2 linked regions of the Elephas maximus indicus genome follow. The protein of the gene in region 2 interacts with the protein of the main gene of each other region in a biochemical or structural test. Links are inferred from orthologs where the notes say so. Each region holds a gene or a part of one and is shown on either strand. Other genes may lie near its edges.

What was found. The genes of interacting proteins can lie anywhere in the genome.
Region 1: the proteins of NR2F1 (region 2) and BCL11A form a complex in vitro, tested with the Homo sapiens proteins (2 studies listed by BioGRID). The link is inferred for Elephas maximus indicus from reciprocal best matches to the Homo sapiens genes NR2F1 and BCL11A.

The regions. Positions count from the first base shown.
Region 1 is NC_064844.1:1,681,863-1,689,419, reverse strand, and holds the start of BCL11A (B-cell lymphoma/leukemia 11A), read right to left. Parts: upstream 3,046-7,557; 5' UTR 2,988-3,045; intron 2,749-2,987; exon of another isoform or gene 2,510-2,748; 5' UTR 2,402-2,509; coding exon 2,347-2,401; intron 119-2,346; exon of another isoform or gene 118-118; coding exon of another isoform or gene 69-117; intron 1-68. UniProt on the Homo sapiens protein: Transcription factor. Associated with the BAF SWI/SNF chromatin remodeling complex. Binds to the 5'-TGACCA-3' sequence motif in regulatory regions of target genes, including a distal promoter of the HBG1 hemoglobin subunit gamma-1 gene.
Region 2 is NC_064820.1:100,819,754-100,826,686, reverse strand, and holds the start of NR2F1 (COUP transcription factor 1), read right to left. Parts: upstream 3,027-6,933; 5' UTR 2,940-3,026; coding exon 2,480-2,939; intron 20-2,479; coding exon 1-19. UniProt on the Homo sapiens protein: Coup (chicken ovalbumin upstream promoter) transcription factor binds to the ovalbumin promoter and, in conjunction with another protein (S300-II) stimulates initiation of transcription. Binds to both direct repeats and palindromes of the 5'-AGGTCA-3' motif.

The DNA.
Region 1 (7,557 bases), on a different chromosome or scaffold from region 2:
GCAACCTTCCAAAGACAGGCCCGGCTTTCCCAAGTCCTGCGCACTCTGCCCTTCCTTCCCGCCCGTACCTGGCCGGGCTGTAACTTCACACCGCCGCGCGCCGCGTCTGCTCCGCATCCGGCGCGGCCGGGGGAGTAGGGGGCGGGGGAGAGAGGCGAGGGAGGGATGCGCGGGGGTGGGGAGAGGGAGGGCCCCGCAACGTGCTTGGGCTGGGGAGGGGGGAGGAGAGCGGGGGAGCTTCCGAAGTGTATGACAAGTTTCAGGGCCCAGTGAAAAATGCAATTCCCTGTGCGCGCCCCCACCCCATCAAAAAATACATGACTGGGTATAAGTGGACCTTTAAAAATTGTATCAAAAATTAAAATGGGAGTCATGGAGAGGAGAGAACTGGCCTTCTCGTGCCTTTCTTTCCCTCGCTGCCAAACTTTCCTAAGTACCCACTACCTCACAGGAGCATTCAGTTAGCTGGGACCCCCCCTCCCCCCGCCTTATAAAGACTCACAAGGACCCCAGACAAAGTCAGGCCCAGGAAGTGGGCAAGAACCCAAAGGTGAAGGACGCGAGGTCCCGGAATAGAGCCCCGCAAAGGCATACCCGACCAGAGTTCTCCGTAGTCCTCCCCCACCTCACCCCGCCCCAGCCCGGGCCTGGCCCCGCTCCGGCACAGGGACCTGGTGGCCAGACCCGGGGTGGGAGTCGGGGGAGGAAGCGAATGCACGTGGTGACCTCCACCCCCTCCCCGCGGCCGAGAGCGGTGGACAAGAGACCTCTGGGGGTACAGCCGAGGGCAGGGGGCGCACGCAGAAACAAGCTTTTTCAGTTGCTTTGCAGAATAAAAATGCTTTGCAAAGCCGAGTTTCTCCCCAGCGGGTTTCGCAGTCGGGGAAGCCGGGAGGAGGTCTGGGCATTGTGCTGGGGGCGGGCGGGGACCTGGGGCCCTGCTGGCGCAGTCTCAGCGTGGCCTGCCGCCGTGCCCGGAGGGCGGGCGCCGGGCGCCGGGTGGGCGATCCCGGGAGGGGCCGGGGCGCGCCGAGGCCCAGCGAGGCCCCGGCCAGGCCCGGCCGCCGCCGCCGCCGCCCGCTCTGAGGCCGCGGCGCTGCGCTCGGTCCTCTGTCTGTTTGTTGGCAGGAGGCTCCCGCACACGCGGTGCTTGTAAACATTCAGACACGAGATTTTTCCCAATCAAAATCCACTTCCACTTTTTTTGAAAATCTTCCAAAAAATAGTAAGAGGAGGGAGTTCCTCGCTCCGTCTCAGTGCCGCCGGCGCTCTAAGTCTGCGAGTGAAGGGGTTTGGGGAAGGGGGTGATTGTAATTTTTTTTTCTCGGTTGGAGATGGTGAGATTTTTGCGGGGGGGGTGGGGAAGTCAAAGTGGAGAGCATTGCAGTCGAGGGCTGGCGGAGCGCTTGGCTTCTGCTTTTTGGGGCAAGAAATTTTACGTTCTCTTGCCTCGTTCAATTTAACTGTCTTTATCTTTTGCATGTCTACCCCTCGCCGCCTCGGAGGCTCGGCCGGGAGGGGAAGGCAGCGGCGAGCCGGGCGGCCACCCCGGGGCCCTCCCTCCCTCTCCCGCGCGCCCCCGGCCCGGGCCCCGGCCCTTCGGCCACAGCGGCGGCGCGGGAGGGCCAGCGCGAGGAGCTGGCACAAAAGGCAGCGGGACAAACACCCACCTCGGGCCGGAACAAAAGGCGGCAGCGCCGGCCGCGGCTGGCGTTCTCCCCGGCTCCCCAGCTCTCCCCGGCGCCGCGGCCCCCTCCCGCATGCCCTGGCTGACGCTGGCGGGGAAGCCTACTTTCCTCCCGGGTCACGCCGGCCCGCGAGCGCGCCGGCGTCCGAGGGCCGGCTCGCCTCTTCTCCCCCGGCATTGGTTTGTAGGCTGGGACCCCCCCCACACCCCGTTTTCCTGCGGGGAGTGGAAGCCACCCTCCTTTCCCCGCCGACTCCCTCCCCCAGGCTGGCGCGTGAGTTGTTCGCATCCTTAGCATTGTTCATTATTTTGCAAAACTGGGGGGTAAAACCACCGCATTCCTTTTCGACAAGAGAAATAAAGCAGCGGAAAGGAGGTAAGAGGAGGGGTGACTTTCTTTTTTAATTAAATAAAATTAAAAGGTGAATGCTATCCCAAAAGTGCACACGCGGCTAAGGTGCGAGACGGGACGAGGTTTCTTTCTTTCTTTTTTTTTTTTTTTTCCTTTTCCTTTAATCTCTTTTACTCCGACTCTCGGAGGTTTCCTCGTGAAAATAAAAAATGCACGCACACACCCCTCTCCCCCCTCGCTCTTGCGGCTCGTCCTGCGCGCTCTCGTGATTATTAATAATTATTATTACTATTATTGGGTTACTTACGCGAGAATTCCCGTTTGCTTAAGTGCTGGGGTTTGCCTTGCTTGCGGCGAGACATGTTGGGCTGCGGGGCGGGCGGCGGCGGCGGGCGGACGACGGCTCGGTTCACATCGGGAGAGCCGGGTTAGAAAGAAGGAGACTCCAGAGAAAATATCTTCATCAGTGCCTTTTGACATCCAAAATAAATTAGAAATAATACAAAGATGGCGCAGGGAAGATGAATTGTGGGAGAGCCGTCATGGCTTTTTTTTTTTTTTTTTAAGCAAAAAAAAAAAAAAAAAAGGAGAGAGAGAGAGGAGAGATAGAGGGAGAGAGAGAGATGAAAAAAAATGGCAAAAGCCCCCCTGAGCTGCAAGTTCAAGTGCGGACGTGACGTCCCTGCGAACTTGAACGTCAGGAGTCTGGATGGACAGAGACACACAAAACATGGGCAGGGCGAGCAGGAGAGAAGGGGAGGAGGGAAGGGGAAGCGCACACCAATGGACACACATCAGGGGCTGGACATGAAAAAGAGACCAGGACAAGCCAATGGCCAGTGCGGGGCGGGGGAGGCGCGGGCGGGGGGCTCGGCAGACGCCAGACGCGGCCCCCGAGGGAGGGGCGGGCGGAGGGGAGGGGAGGGGGCGCCGGGGCCGCGGGCTCACCAGTGGCCGCAGCGAGCGCAGCAGCCGCGGCGTGGCCGGGAGAGAAGAAAGGGGCGGCAGGGGCGGGGGGGGGAGCAAGGCGGGCGTCCTGCTCCCCCCCCCCCACTGGGACCCTAAAATGAGAGATTATTTAAAAAAAAAAAAAAAAAAAAGGCAAGAGTGCTCGGAGGGCTGCAGGCTGCGGCCGGAGAAGCGCGGGCGGAGGGAAGCAGGTAGAGTTGCTCCCGGCCCCCCTCCGCCGTGCGCACACCCACTTCCCCTCCCCGCCGCCGCAGCCGGCGCGCTCACTCCCCGTGTGCGGACACCCGGGCCAGGAGTGGAAGCCCGGAGCCCGCGGCTGCGCTCGGGAAACTTTGCCCGAGGAGAGGAAAGCCAAGAAAATCACCCGAAGTTAGAGCTGAGCCTCCAAGTTACAGCGCCGCAGCGGGCGAGGGGAGGCGGGAGGGAGCGCGCGCGGAGCGGAGTCCAGCCCAAGTTTGGAGGCTCGCGGGCCGGAAGGGCAGTGTCGGGGCCTCCCCGAACCCGGACGGTCTCGATGGAGGGGGCCAGGGCGAGGGAGGCGGCGAGCGGCGCAGGCCGGGGCAGGAGCGCCGGGAGGGCGCCCCGAGGCCGAGCCGGGGGCCGGGGATTTGAGCGCCTGGACTACCGACTGGGTTTGAATGAACTGGAAGCGCGGAGTCGAGGCTCCCCAGAACCCCGGAGTGAGAGAGGGGCCGCGGAATAAAGAACGAGGAACCAGAGTCCGAGCGCATTCCAGCCCCAAGACGGGAGTACCGAGGGCCGGGGCCGGGGAGGCGTCCACCTCTCCTGGCGGCCGTGAGCAGGAGGACAAAGCGCGGGCAGTCCCGGGAGGGCTGGGAGCGCGCTCCCCGCGCCGCGAGAGGCCCCGGAGCCGGGTCCCGAGGAGGTACACACCCCCTCCCGCTCCAGACCCACCGCAAAGGCACAGAGGGATGGAAAGAAAGTACTGCTTACGGGCAGAGCACAACTATTCCCGTGCTGTTACCCGGGGAAAGGGAAATGGGGGATGGAGATACAGCGGCGGGCTCGCGGGAGCAGCCGGGAGGCCACAGTGGAGGGGCGACCGCCTCGGAGGGACCAGCGGCTCTGGGCGAGCTCCGCGCTCTCGCGCGCCGCAGGCCAAGGCGCACACCTCGGAGCCCGCAGCCGCCTCTAGTCTTTCTGTAGACATTCCCTGGAAATTAGGGAAGACCTGTTGGAAATAAGCCCCTGTCTCTTTAATACGCGCGCGCACACACATGCACACACACACACTCACACACGCTGCCGCTGTCAAAAAGCGGGCTTCATTCTGGCATGGGATACTTTCAGTTTTACGTAAAATGTACAGCAACAGCACCCCCTGCGATTGGAAAGTTTATTCCGAAACGTGCCTGCAAAGTCCCCCGGCGTCTCCCGCCTCCCAGCCTCCCCGCCTGCCTGCGCTACCCTGCAGCCGCCGCCACCGCCGCGGATACGGCGCTCCGATTCCAAATCGGGAAACGCTGGGGAGTGGGGGTGTGTGGATGGACTCGAGTCCAAGGTTGGCGCGGAGAGTGCAGGGGGACGCCGGGCGCCGCTGCCCGCGAGACTCCGAGCTGCAGGTGGACATGTGTGAGTGGCTGCAAAGCAAGGAACCTTCCTTCCCTCTCCCGCAAGCAGCCCCGCGACCCCTCGGGTCTTCTCTTCCCCCTCCTCCTTCTAAGGGGTGTCGTCTCCTTAAATTCGCCCACTCAGCGGGGGGGTTGGGTTGTTTGAAGCAAGGGCCCTGGACTGGCAAGCGCGCCCCCATCTCCCAGGCTCGCCGGCAAGCGGCTGTTTATTCCTATGTCATCTTAGTAAAGTTTCAAACCTATTAGAAAAGGACGCTTGTCCAGCTTGAAGACGCTTCAGGTCTCCGCAAGGAAGAAAAAGGAGATTTGGATGCCCCACGTTATGAGGGGTGTGAGCTGAGGTGGGTTTGTGTAAATGCGGTTTGTTGCTGTTTCCCTCCAGTTTAAGAAAGCGGGGGGGAGCGCAAATCCTGTTTAAGCAAGACTCATTTGCAGTAAGGCTCTGTAGCGTGTGCGTGACACCATTTCCTCTTTTCCGTGAGTTCTTCAGAGCAGTTCAGCATCTTTCTCCCACCACCGGGTGTTTTTTGTCTGTTAAACCAACCTTATGACCAAATGAATGTCTCTGTAGGGCGGGGGACGGGGAAGGGCGGCGAGGAGGAATATTAGAAAGTGAAGAAAGGAGAAAGTGTAACTGGGAAGCCTTGGAAAAATAAGTAAAAGCCCCTTCAGGTAACAATGGTGAGCCAGAGTCCTTCCGAATCGAGCATTTCAGATTTGAATATTGCTCCTATCCATCCATAAAAGTCCATATGTAGAGAAGGTACGTAAATGGGCAAATGCGTGTTGGGGAAATATATATGTATGATTTATATAGAATGGTGTTTATAAAGCTTTTCAGGGTTGGCTGTAGTGTAAAAAGTAATGAGTTTATTACCTCTGAAAGGTTCTGTGGTTCACATTTAACAGTCTTCTGAATTACAATTCATTACACAATTGGGTGCTCTCTAAAACCGGCACCCCATCAGGGCCGCTATCTGTGGTTATTTCCTATAAATAACTGGCAACATTTTATTGATTTTCTCTTTTAAAAAAATCATAGGAGATTAAGCACTTAGTTACAAGTAGGTCTGCTATGTTACTGAACTTGTTCCAGATTCCAGGGGGTCCTTTCCGAAATCACATCTTAAAACATAGCATTAAAAAGCCAGTTTTGTAGCTGCTTTCCCTGGGTACCAACGGAGAGGTAGGCAGCGAGGTTTCCACCGTCAACATACATTTGATTTCACCATGATAAAATGTCCAGGATGAAATGGAAACTCTGCCCTCCGCTGCCACCCCCTCCCCCAGCCAGATTTCACCTAGTCCAGAAAACTAGGGCTGAGGGAAGGCATCTGATCGCTCCTGGAACCCCCTCCCCAGTCGTCTCCCCTCCGGGCGACGCCCCTTTTCCTCGTCGCAGCTCGAAGCTCACTAAAGCGCCCAAAAGTGGGGGAGGGGAGATTGTGGGTGTGTTTAAAGGAAAAAAACATGCGTTGTTTTAAGAGGTTTAAAAATATTACATAAGTATTGATTAATGATGCAGGTGGTTTCGTAGAGGGGGTGAAAGGTCACGTTAAAAGCGCGCACTTTGGATACACAGTAAGTATATTTTACCTTTCCAGAAGTGGCTTTTAAAAGTAATAAATTACCACAACGTTGAAATTATTTTCTGGTGGTCAGTTAACTCCGTTCGGGGCTGTAGAACCTCTGCTGAGTCCGCTGAGGAGGTAACGACGCGCTTTGGGCTGTTTCCCAACCTTCGATGACGACGCTGCGTAAAGTCCAGGCCGGCAGACAAGCCCTCCCCTCCTCCCCCTTTTTATCTCGCCGGCGGAGCAGACTCCCCAGGACTTCCTGCCTCTGATCTCCGCACTTAATAGCCCAGTCCTGGTTTATGCTTTATAATGTGTTGACAAGTTTTCTAACAGACTTTCTGAAATAATGCACATATATTCACGTCGGTTAGAAACCCCGCCGTATTTTTTAGAGCCGAGCAGATCGGCTCTCTAATGCAGTGCAAGAGTGTAAATCAAGGAGGGTTTCATGGTCCTTTCAGGAGTTTTCGGTATGAAGTATGAGCCGCGTGGCCTCCAGACGTAACCTTTTAGAAAAAAAAGACAGTGCTTTTATTTTATGGTGTAAAGTGCTTTTAGCTCCAGGGCTCTGAACGTGAATGTGGTCAACAAACAGCTCCATGAGGAAGGCTTAACGCAGTCCCAGCGCTGGTGCGGAGGATCGCCTGGCGCTGGGCACTCGGGCTAAGCTGGGGAACCAAGGGTTAAGAGGTCTGTCTCGCGCTGGAAATGACAAGATTAAAATAAAATATTCACTGTCTGCCTTTAGGGGGAAACACCTTTATGGATTTAAAGATAAATAAATGAATGAATGATTAAAATACAATCGATCCCAACTTACTTTTTATTTCATCTTTTTTCCCCCTTAATCGGCAGATCAGGAAAATAGAGAATGTACGTTCATCTTTATAAAAATAAAGCTCAGATCTGGATTCTACACTTGGTAGATGCATTTGGGGTGCCTGGGGGTGGACTTGCTAAGGGACTTGTTAAGACAAAGGGAAAATAATAAAAAAGGAGGAGCGGCTGTGAGCAAGCGGGTGGCTCTCCCCCCAGCCGCCCTCAGCGCCCCACCCCCGTGACGTTTCCTCCTCCTTTGCTCCCCGAGTGACCCGAGCCTGGGACCTGGGGAGGCCCCTGGAGGGCAGTGTCTACACCTTCTGCAAAGGCACAGACTTCCCCCAGGGGGCTTCCTGAGGGAACAGTTGGTCCAGCGTCCTTCTCCAGAGGCGCTCTGGGCCTTTGGCTGGCTGGCAGGCTGCATTCTGGATGGACCAGTGGGAAAAAAAGGAGGGAGGGAAAGAAGGAGGGAAGGAAGAAGGGAAGGAGGGAAGGGAGGGAGGGAGGGAAGGAGGGAGGAGAGGGAGGGAGAAAGGAGGGAAGGGAGGGAGGAAGAAAGGA
Region 2 (6,933 bases):
ATTCTTCCTCGCTGAACCGCTGACAAAAAGAAAGAGAGAAAAGAGGCAATGTGCATCCAGGGGGCTTGCGAACATCGCCGCGCCGCAGAGCACCCGACACAAAGCGAAGGCTTTTCCCGCAGCCACACGCGCCCCGCGCACCTTCTCTCACGCGCTCGCTCTCACTCACAGACCACACCGCCAGGAGAGCTGGGGTAAGGCCCTCCAGCTCCACCGCCCGTTTTGCCCGTCCGTCGCCTGCCCTTTTGGTCACCCCAACCCTGCCGGAACCAGGCCTGACTTCAAGGCCCCCAGCCGGGCATGGCCAGCAGAGCTCCTGACGCCAAGAAAGCGCCAACCCCTCCACCACCAAGGAGGAACACACAGAAAAATGAAACCCCACTCACCCCTCCAGACCGAAACAAATCAGGGTTTAAAAAATATATATAGGCGAAACCGGAGAGAGGTTGTGGTTCTAGGCAAATGCCTAGCGGCCTCCTTATTTGTAAGCAAGCAGCGTTTTGCTTATAAAATGTTTCCATATTCTCTAAAAATGCTATAGGGTTATCCTTAAAATAGATACAAGTTACATACCCTCGTAACCACTTAAAACTTTTTGAGTAGAGAGCAAGTATTCTGCACCCCTCCCCTCTTCCCTCCTCCTCGTCGCCCCACACAAAGTTCTCACTGTTAAAAGCGACAGAAAATGGAATATTTTCAAGAAAAAAAGTTGAACTTACAGTAGCCAAACATTATTGAAAAAAGTGGGAAATATAATTAATTTCTGTCCTGCGCCGTGCCACTGCAACCTGCAGCCAGCTTTTGCCCAGTGAATGCACGAGCTTGCAACTGCAAAAACACTGGATTCATTAACCATCTGAATGCAAAACGTAAGCATGCTTTGAGTTCTTAAAGCTGACCAAAGTTTTTTTTTTTAATGTGTATGTTTTACTTCAACACTGCCGGTGTTTTAAATTGCCATGTAAACAAAGGCAACTTTCTGAAAAGTTAGGGCTACTGAACTCTCCCCCTCAACAAATTAATATAGATATGTCCATGTACACGTAGCTGTCTTATTTCAGTCTGTGCACTGTTTTCTTAAGTTTGCTTTGATTCTAATTTTAATGCAAGTTCCAGTGCAATTTAAGCTCTTGAAACATAATAGATAGAATACTTTTTTCTAATTATAGTTTTGAACTTGGCAGTTATTTTTCAATTAAATGAGAGCACAATTCAAAGTTTTTTTTTTTCCTCAGATGCCTACAAAATCTCCCTGGAGCTAGAAATGAAGTCATCATATTTGCCTCCTCCTTGAAATCTGAAGGAATTTAATTTCTTTTCTTGTGGCATATAAAATATCATTTTAAAGTCAATTACAAGAAGGAGTAATCTGAGTTCTACAAAATTGTCTGGCTCGCTAATTTGACCATAAGACATCTTCAACGACTGTTAGGAGATAAACTTTAACTGTGAACAGCTAAATACATTTATAAGGAACTACTGCATCTCTTGCCACATGAACATGAAACATATCTAAATCCAACATCAAAAGTTGTGTTAAAAAAAAAAACCACAAACAACAAACCCATACAACACAGGGATTAAATGACGTGAAAGCGCATGCCAGCTGCAGTCTGTGCATTATAGCCAAATCAGAAGGATCGGTAAATGCGTAGTAAATTGTAATTTGTATGCAGTATTTAAGCAGAGGGTGGAGTTTGATGAAGAAATAAAAGGAGTATCATGCTTTAAAAAAAATGACACAACTATGAAAGCACGGTTCAGTCACAAACTTTCCTTTCACAGTAGAGGGGTGAACACAAGGCCACAGCTCCAGAGGAGGCGGCCCCAGCTCCGTGGAGAGGAGAGGGAACCAGTGAACAGGCTAGAAGCCCCCCTTCCCCCCTAATTAGACCTACAAGTGCAATAAATCTCACTCCTCTTTTTCCAAGCTAAGCTTCCAAAAGGATGATGGCAGCAATGAATCTACGGTTCAGGGTACTCCAGTCCCCAGCCCTCTCCCATTTTAAATAAAGAGTATGAAGAGGTGGAGGAGAAAGTGGAATGAAAAAACACAGACACAGAGTTTTCTGGGGAAATAAGCACCCCCTCCCCAAGTTCATGCCAGCACAGCCCCAAGCATCCTCACGCACACCCGGAAAAGGGACACACACCGAGCACATCCAAGACAGAGGGAGGGAGGGGATTTTAAGCCATAGCTCACGATCCCAGGGACACAATCCCGAGCAGGCAGCGGGCGGGGTTGGGGAGCCGGGAAGAGTAGCGCAGACCGGGAGGGGGAGGCAGCGGCAGCGAGCTGGGGGGTGGGGGGGGGGGAGGTGGGAGACGCAGGGGGAGGAAGGCAGAGGGAACAGGGGAAGGTGGGATGGACCGGGACCGCTGAAGCCCCAGTCCCACATAGCAGCCACCCCCGCGAGATAGAAAGAGGGCCGGGGAGCCGGACGAAGCGCGGGGAGAGAAGCAGAGAAGAAATATTCACCTTCCCGCCTCATGCCCACTTTGAGGCACTTCTTGAGGCGGCAGTATTGGCACTGGTTGCGGTGGTGCTGGTCGATGGGACAGTTCCTGTTGGCACGGCATGTGTAAGTTAAGTTCCTGCGGACGCTCCTCTTGAAGAAACTTTTGCAACCCTCGCAGGTGAATTGGCCGTAGTGCTTGCCGCTCGACTTGTCCCCGCACACCACGCACTCGATGTGCTGCTGGCTCTGGCCCGAGCCGGGCGGGCCCTGGCCCTTGTCCCCCGCCGTGCCGGGGGTGGCGGGCGCTCCCGGCTGGCCCGGGGTCTGCGGCGTGTGCGGCGCGCCCGAGCCCGCCTGCTGCTGCTGCTCGCCGGCGCCGCCGCCGCCGCGGGCCGCCTGCGCTGCGGGGTTGGGGCCGCCGGGGTTGCCCCCGGCCACGTCGTCCTGCGGATCTCGCCAGCTGCTAACTACCATTGCCATATCTTTGGGCCCGGGGAGCGCTGGGGGGGAGCCGAGCTGCTCGCCGAGGGCCGCGGGGCGCGCGAGCGCGCGGGGAGGGGAAGGGGAAGGGGGAGGGGGAGGGGGAGGGGGCGGGGGGCCCGCCGGGCGCCCCGGGGTCGCCGGAGCCGAGCCCGAGCCGGGCACCGGCCGCTGCCTCTGCCGCCGCCGCCGCCGCCGCAGCTACTGCCTCGGCCGCCCCGCTGCTGCTGCGCGCCCGCCCGCCCTGCTGGCGTTTTGTTGTGGTTCCTGCTGTTTTCTTTCTTTTTGCAGCCCCCCCAGGCTCTCAGGCTCCCCCCCACACCCCTTCTCCCCTCGCCCGCTCCCCCCGCGCTCGGTTCCTGGGGGGGCCGCGCTCTCCTTCCCCCCCTCCCCACCCCCCCGACGAGCAAGCTCCCTTCTCTCGCTTTTTTCTTCTTCCCCAAGTTGCAAAATCAGAAATGGCACAGGCGGCAGCGGGGAGCGGCGCGGGGCGCTGCGCCGGGGGCGGCGGGCATGGGCCACGGCGCGCGCACACACTCGCCCTCCGCCTCGCCCGCACCCCCGCGCACACACACACTCGCACACACACTCGCTCACCCGCGCCGGGCGCCCTCCCGCCCGCCGGCCGCCGGGGCTAAGCGCAGCGCGCGGGCTGAGCCGACATAGAGGAAGCCGGCGAGGGCGGAGGCGGCGGCGGAGGCGGTGGCGGCGGTGGCTGAGGAGGAGGTCGCGGCTGCAGGCGCCGCTGGAGCCGCCGCCTCAGCAGCTGCGGCGAGCGCCTCTGGAGGAGCCGGGGCCGAGGCCGGAGTCGGAGCTGGAGCCGGGGCTGCAGTCGGAGCGCGAGCCGGGCTTGGAGCCGCCCGCGCCGCCGCCGCTGTCCCGGCGGGAGCCCTTGCCCGGCTCGGGAGTGCGGGAAGCGTGGGGAGCCGAGCAGGGCGCGGGGCGAGGCTGCCGGCAGCGATCAGGGCGCGCGGGTGTCTGGGGGCCAGGTCCAGGGCCGGACGCAGCCAGCCATTCAGGAAGGCAGCGCTGGAGAGCGGGAGGCAGCCGGCGGGGAGGATCACACACTTTGCTCTTTTTGTTGTGCCGGTGGCGCCGAGCTCTCGCTGCCTTCTTTCAGGAGGTGATGGAAGGGGGAGAAAAATACGGGATAATTCACGCCGGCGACGAATTCACGGCGAAATAGAAAAAAATAAAAATCAGAGGAAAAAGAATTGCAAAAAAAAAAAAAAAAAATAGACGAGAGAGACATCCAAAGTAGGTCGAATAAATAATCCTCTTCTTTTCCTCTTTCTTGCTTCTTCTTCTGCTTCTTCTGCTATAACACACAGAGCTAGTTAAAAAACCCTGGAGATCGCCCAAAAATGTTCTTTTTTTAGTATTTTAAATAAGTGCTCTTCAGCCGGGAACCAACACCCTCCCTCCAAAAAAAATTTAAAAAAAAGAAAAAAATCATATATGTATAAAATTACGATAAGAAGAATACGAAGGGGGTGTCTCCTCCTTTTTTTTTTTTAAGTTTAGACCTCTCTCTTGTGCAAGAATGGAGTAAAAGAGACAGGAGGAGGGAAAAAAAGAAGAGAAAGAAGGAGAAGAAGAATAAGGGGGAAACAACTAATAGAATATGTAAGAAAGGAGAAAGAGGAGAGAGGCGAGAGGGGGAGAGAAGAGAGGGCGAGAGAGGAGAGAGAGGGGAGAGAGAGAGAGAGAGAGAGAGGAAGAGAGAGAGGGAGAGAGGGAGAGGGGGAGAGAGGAGAGAGACCCAAAAATTGAATGCGTTTAAACGGGAGGACTCGCAGAGCAATGTTTCCGAAAGGGGGATCTGCGCGAATGTCTGTATATAGTGAACTTTGACACTACTATTGAAACTGACACGTTTCTATGGAGATCGCTGCCTTATATGGAGCTCGTGTCAAGGAGCCAAGAGAAGGGCTGCTGGCAACTGATAATCAAAGGCGACTGACTGGTCAGAGCCCTGAATCGGGGGGGAGAGAAAATGGGAGTCTAAGGTTAGCCAAGCCTCCCGCACGCCATTGGTTGGAGAGCCCCTCCCCCCACCTCTTTTTCTTTCTTTCTTTTTTTTTTTTCCCCCCTGCCTCTTAGCTACCTACTGACTAGGATGCCGAGGGGAGGAGGAGAGAAAGTGAGGGAGGGGGGTGTGTTTCTGACAAGCACAATTTACATTGAGATCGCCCTGCGCTGCTATTTACTCTGAGACCTGATTAGTATGGGTCGTCTACGGTCACACACACACACACACACACACACACACGCACACACACACACACCCTAGAGGGGGAAGGGATGTCGATGGGCGAAAAGAGAATTAGAAGGAAATTATTTTGATTTCTTCTGAAAAGTTTTTAAATTTAGATTTTATAAGCGTGAAAAGAATGTCACTGTAAATGTTAGAAAAAAAATTTTTTAATGGGAATGAAACCCCACTGTTTTAATGACTCGTGAAATATACTGGGTTTGGATTGTTTCCCCAAGTCTGGCTTCTGCTCATTTTATTTCCTTCTTAGAAGCAAGGTAGGGTTTCCCTATTTTTTGGCCCCAAGTACATTCTGGATTATAGGTTTAATTATGACAAAGCACACTCCTGGAATTTGCAGCTATTATCACAAATTCTATTCGAATCAAGGTTTCTACTCACCCCAAAGATGTTTTTTAAAAATAAACTTTTCAATCAACCCCCCCCCCCGTTTTGTATCCTCATATCCTCAGGCTGTTCCAAACTCCAAAACAACACTTCCATGATTATTAAAGCAGAAATAAGTCTTCATTTTGTTGGGGGGGGGGAGGGCGTTAGGTCGGCCAAATCAGGGTCCCAGGAAAAGAGGGAGAGGGTGGACGAGAAGATGTGGAGAAGTGGAAGGCAAAAGGAAGGGGTAGGACTAGGGAGAGACAGAGACGCAGAGACAAACTGAGACCTGGATTCCCGGAGGTGATTGGTCGTGGGTGGAGGGGCAGGCGGGAGGAGCGGGTCCCGCCGCGGGGCCTGCAGGAATCGCTGGCTCCGGCTGCCACCTAGCGGACGGGAGTCGCGCCCTGGCGGTGCACAGCCGAGTCCCTCCTCCCCTCCCCTCCCCTCAGGCAGCCTGTCTTTTTCCAAACGAAGACAGCACTTTGAAAATTCTTTCAATGGATTTTTTTTTTCCTTGAAAGATCTTACTGGGGGGAAATGATACTTCTATTAGTTACATATTCTCCAATCGCACACTCGCAACCGTCCCCCCCACCCCCCTCGTTTTGAGCTCGCTCCCCTAGGCAGGCTCCAGCGGGCGCGGGAGAAGCTCCGAGTGACAAAGCCGCCGCCGCTGCCGCTGGGGGTTGGAGCGGCGTTCGGCGGTTCGCCAGCCCCTGGACTCGGGAAGCGCAAAAGTTTGTCTCAGGTCGAGCATCCCGAGCCCCAACACGCCCTCAGGTAAAGGTGGAAGTAAATGGCCACGCAGTATTGACAGAGGTAGGGTCTGTTTTTTAATACTGGTTCTCACTTTAAATCTCACCAGGGAGGGGTTTAGGAAGCGCTGCGTGTTTGGGGTGCGTTTTGCGCTTCCCGGTATCTCTAGCCTTCGTGTAGCGTGCAGGCGATCGCCTAGTGATGAGCAGAAGCGATGATTTTTAAAGAGCGGAATAAAGGCTTTCCCGTGTTTGTCCCCCAGCCCCTCCAGCTCGAATAACGGAGAGTTTGTCAATGCACTCGGCTAGCAGCGGCCCATTGTACGCAGCTGATGGAGAGGAGGCGACAAGGGGCTGCAAGAGCTCCTCGCCCTCATCCCTCTCCTCAAAAAAACGCGCTCAAGTCGTTTGGTCAGTTAAAAGGTGAAACAACATGATTAAAGGAGACCCCCCTAGCCCTCCCTACCACCCCCCCCAAAAAGGCAAGCTCTCTGTATAGAAATTCTCAAGTTTATCCTCCAGACTGCACAGAGGCAGGGAGTGCAGGGCAGAGGAAGACAGGCAGAAGGAGAGAGGGAGACTGAGAGAAGGA